Schizosaccharomyces pombe: one gene and its partner. Changing the gene in region 1 together with any one later gene gives a genetic interaction. Each region holds a gene or a part of one and is shown on either strand. Other genes may lie near its edges.

Evidence for each region. Genes that interact genetically often act in the same process or in processes that back each other up.
Region 2: mutations in clr5 (region 1) and stn1 together harm fitness more than expected from each alone (negative genetic interaction), as found in Schizosaccharomyces pombe (one large-scale study listed by BioGRID).

What each region holds. Positions count from the first base shown.
Region 1 is NC_003424.3:5,426,284-5,430,040, reverse strand, and holds the start of clr5 (silencing factor Clr5), read right to left. Parts: upstream 1,686-3,757; 5' UTR 1,635-1,685; coding exon 1,519-1,634; intron 923-1,518; coding exon 1-922.
Region 2 is NC_003423.3:1,161,045-1,164,801, reverse strand, and holds stn1 (telomere cap complex subunit Stn1), read left to right. Parts: upstream 1-1,719; coding exon 1,720-1,828; exon of another isoform or gene 1,829-1,883; coding exon 1,884-1,982; exon of another isoform or gene 1,983-2,112; intron 2,113-2,136; coding exon 2,137-2,906; 3' UTR 2,907-3,317; downstream 3,318-3,757. Other genes in the region: protein mim2, read right to left, coding at 310-484.

The DNA of each region.
Region 1 (3,757 bases):
GGGTTGGTGATTTCCAGGCTTACTTTCAAGATAAGATGGTTGATTTGGAGTATATCGATCATAGGAATAAGAATTAACAGGCATCGATTGTGATGATTGCATATAGGATATGTTGGCATGAGTATTGTCCATTGGAAGGGCATTATTACCGTCAGGATGAGCAGCAGATTGGTTTGAAGAAGCAAACATGGTGGAGCCCATTGGGACATTTCTAGATTGGTAGATGAAAGGATACAAAGCTTGTGGCTGACCGTTAACGGCATGTTGAGCAGCAGGGAATGGATGAGATTGTTGCTGTCGAGAGAAACGTTGAGAGGGTATTTGGAAAGGCTGCTGCAAATAAGGAAGAGATGGCATGCTAGAATAGCCAGACTGTGGAGGAGTCAAAGAAGAGTGCGCATTGTGTGCATCAGCCATAGTTGAAGGATCCACACCCATGTGAGGGGGAAGCGAGCTATGGTGAGGAGGATGGATGGCACCCATATCTAAATGGCTCGAAGAAGAAGATGATATAGTAGCGACGGGATCAGGAAGAGTGCTAATGGGAGGAGCAACGTTAGGATTGGAAGTTGTAGACGACGAAGAGTTATCAGCAGACAAAAGACAAGAGTTGGCCATCAAAGGGATAGAGTTATTGGGAGAATCGTGGGAGTCAGGAGGAGGACGCTTTAAGGCTAATCTCTTACGACGATAATGCAAAGCACGTTTCGAAAGTTTTAAACCAAAGTTCGCCTCTATCTGGGCCAAAGAATCTTTATCACTTTGTCGCGCATGAAATAATTGGGTAACGAGTTCATCGAGAGCCTTTGAAACGTCGCCCGAAGCGGTTCGCGCGGCGGCCTCTTCGGTTCGGGGCGAGACAAAACGTTGACGATGTACTCGAATTCCCCATCGAGCCAACACGCGTTTGTATGAGCGAATACTAGAGAAAAGTTAGCAAGAGTAATGAAACAAAACAACAAAAAAAAAGAGCTAAAGAGACAAGTACGCGATACGTGAACATAAACGTGAGCGAAAACGAAGTAGCGAAAGACAACTTCAACGCAACGCCAAATGAAATAGAGGAAAGGAAAACAGGATGGATTCATATGGCATGGTCTTTTGCATGAGCATGCACATGATATACATGACGGGTTATTGTTTAGGACATTTGTATCCTGTATGTAAGTGGATTGGACAAAGTGGATGAAAAAAAAGATATTCCAAACAAAACAGCAAACCAAAAAGACAAAGAAACAAAGAAACAAAATTTCATTGTTGAATGAATGTCTCAGTTGAGGATGTTTTGGAAAACTGCCATCCTGTTTTATTGTCGCAACCCCACATACCCAACAATAGCCAATGTCCATGCAGGCACGACACACAACGACGACCTACACCCAAACATCCAAACACACAATTCCATTCACCTTCTCGTACCTCTAGCCCTGTACTTATTCGCTCCTCGTCGCATCGCAAGCATCTCGCACAAAATGGCGCAACTTGTAGTCCCTGCGGCGACACCAACAAACTACTTACCTAGCGTCAAATTTATACATCTTTGACATTCTCGCCTGCAGCTCGCGAATCGTCATTCCATTGATCTTGGAAAGCTCGATGATCTGCTCTCTTCGACATTCCCATTCCTTCGTCATTGAAATCGAACTTTCGGTTGTCTAATGTTGTTTCAAGTTGAGATTGGAAGTGGCCAGAGTTGGTGGTAGTGGTGGCTCGTAAAGTAGGGGTGAAAATAGTGTATCAATTTAGTGCACGAATGACAACAACGTTAAATGATAAAATAGAGCGATCCAAGGTACACCCCCGGAAACATGTAAGGAACATCGGGTCAAAGAGGATAGAAATATATAGCCAAAAAGGGCGCAACTTTTTTCTATCATCTCAGGCATTCGGAAAAATGACCTCGTATCGATGGTTGCCATCTTTCCAATCACATCGTGAGATATTCATTAAATATTGCTCATGGAGAATTTCGGTTTCACTGTTAAGCCGCTTCGTATGATGGCGCTTCCCTGCTCTTATCCATCCAACAAAACTCATTACTCCTTTCGCACTCAAAGTACTGAAACTCATTCTACTCAACACTACTCTTAGGTAGGTTAGGTTAGGTTAGGTTGGGTTGGGGGAGTTTGGGCCTTTGCTATCCCATATGTCTTTTGGCACGTTTGATCTATTGGTAGAGGGTGGACTCGCTAGCGGCAACTTTTTTCTTTTACCAACTCTTTTGTTCGCTTCTTCCACCTTTTGTCAACTCAACAATAACCTTTAACGTTAAATCCTCGACGAGAGCATTCTGTCCCATTTCCAGTAAGTGAAGGATGAACGTTAGAAAGCTGACATGTTCGCGATTTGGTCTGCTAGTAAATGTTGGGCAGAGATGCCTGCTTGCCTTGTCTTGCCAAGGTATTTTTTTCTTTTCGCAAACGAGTAACAGGTTGCTTTGGAGACGACATGGGTATCTGGAGACGAGTGTCTGAGAAAAAAAATTGAAAATCCGAAATCATGATCAACTCCGAACGTACCTAATTTGGATGGACGAAGAGGAGGAAGAAGCGAGCACCCATGAAAGAGAGCACACTGATGCACGCATCCATCAAGTGTTACAAGACAGAGGTAATAGTAGATGAAATAGAAGGGATGGCAAGGTAAGATATGAAAAGGTAGGGTAAGGCATGGGATAAGAAGAGAAATAGGATAAGAAAAGAAAGAAAGAAAGAAGAAAAATAAAAATAAAAATAATACTAAAAAATAATTGGGGTAATTTCTTTCTTTTTCCTTAATTTATTTTAAAGTTCTTTGATCGAGTATTTCCTTTTTATCGACTTCTTCCTCTTGACACTGCCGATGTCCTTTACCTTGCAAAACTTATGCTATCGCTCATCCCGAGGAAAGTTTATAAACTTGCTAGTAAGACTCGTTGTTTTCTTACTACATAATCCACCTTGTATTCTTTTAGTATACAATTTTAACATACTTTATAGCAGCTTCATTTATACAACATACGGAATAGCATAATTTATTTATTAGAAACTTTTCATAACATACTTTATTCGTATAACATACTCCACTCTATTATTTGTATTATCATCACACTGTCTTGTAAATATAACCCAATAAGTAAATGAATAACTAAATATTAAAAAAAAATATATATTTTGTAACACTGGGATGCCAGTTTTATGCCACTCGCATACCTTTCGCATCCATATCAGACACAACTCTATTTCCTTCAATTTGGCAAACTCTGCGTCCGCCAAAATAAAATCATCAAGTCATGTGAATAAACATAAAGTTGAATGTAACATGTGAACAAAAACATAAAGTTGTGTGAATTTTGCAGATCTTATTACATTTGTCTTTTTCTATTTTTATATCAACATAAACTAAGGAATCCCATCTCCAAAAAAGAAAAAAAAAAAAAGGAAATAAAATTATATGTATATATTTTTATCCATCAGTCTCTCTCACAACAATTCATTGAACCAATATAGTGATATGGATTACTTATTCCACCGTTACAATATATTCATTTAACGACTGGCATTACTCCACTACTTTATCAGCTTCGGTGTTTCCCACCCTATCTATTAGTCTTACTGCGTTTTAGTGTATGGGGTCGAATTTATGGGGGTCAAATTTCGTTACCCTCATAAAATTTTTTTTTCTTCTCCAACATGTCGTGCTAGAGTTAATCCATGCAACTCCACCTCCTCGGTGTTCCAACCGAACATTACTCCCAACCTTGTATACTTTTATGCTT
Region 2 (3,757 bases), on another chromosome or scaffold:
TAAGGATGTAGAAAAGGTTAAGAATGAAAGACTAATAGAACAGTAATGGAAACAAAAATGTTTAAAAAATAACGAAAGATGTAAATGTAGACCAACAAGCAGACCATTTAAAAACAGTTTATAGGAAGAAAAAGCTATAATTCAAGCTGATGGAATAAGAAAATCAGTTGTGCTCAATCTTTCTCCAAAAACGGATTTTTTTGCTCTATTATTCAATTATTTGCAAAACTTATTTCCTCTTTGAGAAACTAAAAGCAAATAAAAAAAATCCACCATCTATTCCTATTCCTTTAATTTATACTAACTTACCATGAAATGCGAATTTACGACCAAGAAACTTTCCTAACAACGGGAACACCACCAAACATAAAACTCGTTCCAATTGTTCAATGGAATCCTTTAAATCATCATCCAATTCACTAGAATAGGTATCATCTTCTCCATCTGAAATTGGGTCAATTTCAAGATCTAAAACTTCGGCCATGTTGTTTTCACTAAACTGACTTTAGAATAGTTCGATTGAACTAGCAACGTTGTATTTAGAATTTAATTAAAAAATTTTTCTATTGTCAGCAATCGAAACCCCTTTAACGTATGCTTAAAAGTGTATTATTACCAAGTATGGCTCTGGTGAAGGTCACATAGTGGCTGTTACATTTATACATAGGACATTTGTCGAAACAACATTGATCATGTGAGACTAAATTTTGAAAACAGGGAGTATATTCAGCAAAAATAATTCATATTCACTGATGATAAGAGGTTATTTGTTTCTATATGCTTTACCTATGAGTTTGGGTACATTGTTTGTATTCTTGGTATTGCTAGTTTATTCAATTTCAGATGAAAGCTGAGCAGAACAGCCGCTGTCATGCTATTCGCGGATACCCTTTGTTTCACAACAAATATTTCGACCTAAGAAAAGCCTTTATTTTTGCCATCCTTACCTCTAAGTGCTTTGTTTGGTAACACTTTATTGAAGAATTGATAGACCGTTATAAACATAAAACAAAAAAAAGTTGGGAGTTTTGGTTTTTTTTAGTTACTCTTTTAAAGAATGCATTTTTCCACGAGGTTTCTTGATCGAACACAGTAGGAGCAATATAATTTATCTTCAAAACAGTTGAATGTGAAACATCAATAACTGAAGAAGTTTGGTTTTCATACCTCCTTGCGTATTCCCTATTCATAAATAAATCATATAATTTAGAATTATCCGGTATATGAAGATAGGAATTTGTGTGCTAGAATTTAGCAAGATATAAACAATGCACATTGGTGTGACATTTACAAAATTGGTTGACGAATTCTGTACTCTCACTTTTTGTCAGTAGACGTCTTTTTTAGGATCTTCTCTCAAATTCAATTATAACTAAGTTGCGTGAAACCAGACTAAATTCAATTGATAAAGTTGTTTAGTCAATTAGCATTTTTTATAACAGCATCAATGCATGTCCTAATAAAGAGTTAAGATATTTTTTTTCCTTTTAATCTTACTGTAGAAACTTAAATAGTTATTATCCTCGTAGAATTGCTCTATCCTTATTACGCGCACTCAGGAAGATGAAGACTTCACAAACACCAAATCATTGCTTAATTTTCGAAAACGCTGCGATTGTTGTTGATAGTTGACCAGAAGCATACTAATTTTTATTTACTTATATACTTGAAAAATTGCAAATCATATGGTTGAAAGTCTTTAAGGGAATGACCTAATAAATGCTAGAAAATGAAAATCAACTAACGCATCAATTTCCTACATTATCAAGATGGAACCCCATGTTTATTAGCGATGTTCATAAAATTTCATTTCATCCACATTTACAGCGTAAGTGCTCTTTCTGTAAAATAAATATCACAAAGTGATTCTTACAAATATCTAGGATACATTGGCTTCTGGATGGGATTTCCCATAAGATGGATTCAAATTGTTGGCTATATTGCGGCAATTGATATTTATGAAGGAAAGCATGTTTTAACAGGTAACGAATATCAGCATTGAGGCAATAAGCAGTTCCACTACTGCATACACGACTCATTTAGTTGTTGAATCTAGTTAAGGTTTTTTATAAAATCAACTTTTGAGAAGCATCTGCCTCTATAGCTCCCTTTTTTCTATTTCCTAACTGAATTTAGTGGATGATTGTAGCGGGATGGTATTGCGTGTCGTGTTTATTATTCAAGATGATTTTTCAATGTCAAAAAGAGCAATATCTATGTCTCCTGGAAATGTTGTCTGTGTCTTTGGAAAGATAAATTCTTTCCGATCTGAGGTTGAATTAATTGCTCAGTCGTTTGAAGAACTTCGTGATCCAAATGATGAATGGAAGGCATGGCAGAAAAGGATGAGATACAAAAAAAATTTAACCAAAATCTCTAAAAATCACCATTCAATCATTCGCACACCCAAGAAATCCTATTTTCCTAAAGATCATGCGAAGGAGTTACTTAAGTGCATAAGGCAGATGTGTAAATTAAATGTGCAAGCTGGATTTACAATTGAAGAACTCATTATTTATTTAAAAGCAAAAGAGTTGCACCTCCCACTTGTTCATATATTCAACGTCGAAAATGAAATAGTAGAGAACTGTGATGGAAATCACATACTGGCGCTTAATTTCTCTTTGCAAACATTACTACAACATGGGCGGATTGTGAGAAAGTCAAATTCAGTTTATATGCTTGTCACTTCAAAAGACATAATACGCTTTGTGATTCCTCTGATGGCAAGTGGTCTTCTCGAAGCCCACAAGGTTCAAAGCATAGTGAGAGATTCCAACCCAATGTTTATCACACTCCCTCTTTCTGCGATTGCTAAACACATTTGTCAATTTTTGCTTCGTACAAAAGGGAAATGGAGGCAAGCAAAGAAATATACCTGGGTGCGAGATAATCAGTTTGTATAAAATGAATTTCCAGTTTCCTTTAATATCACATTGACGCGGAGATTTAATTGCCTAAAACTAAGTTCATTGTTCTATATGCAATATTACAATCCTCTATTAATTTAAGAATATGTTTACGGAAACAGATCAATAAGTACACATGGGTATATAAGCGGTTAATCTGATGATGAAATAGATTTACATGTATAAAGCTTTCTTTTTTACTTTTGAATTGATCAGTAGCATCATTGCATCAAATTTAATTAATGGTCAGCACCAATTCATCAGCTGCTTATACAATCTAGGGTAAAGAAATATAACTAAGCATGATAATAAGTTACTCTTAATTTCCTGAAGTTCAAACTTGAAATGCTTTGCATCGCTTACTGGCCTAAGCATCGTACTTCGATTATTATAGTTGGAAGTCATGAGGATAAAACTATGTCTTTTCTGATCATGTCGTAAAATCTAGCTGCTCTTCATACTGAAATTGGAATATTAGATAAGATTTAACTACTAAAAAAAAAGATTAAGGCATCCGATTGCCAATTGTATAGATTGCAATGATGCTCCTTACTGCTTTGAAGTTGAGTAAAAACGAGATAAGCCCATAAACTTATGCAATTTATTTTAGTTGTTTTTAACTACTAAATTGACACTTCATATTGGTGGTTGTTATTTTTTTTTAGGTATCGAAGAATTGCTTATGGTCGTAGAGTTATGTCAATCTATTAATTGATCCAGTATTCTCGCACTGGGAGATCACACATCGAATAAAATTTATTTCGTTTCAATAAGCAACAATAAATATAATAATTGGTTTCTTTAAGCTCGTATTATGCCGCAAAATCTATATTTCAAAATTTAATCCT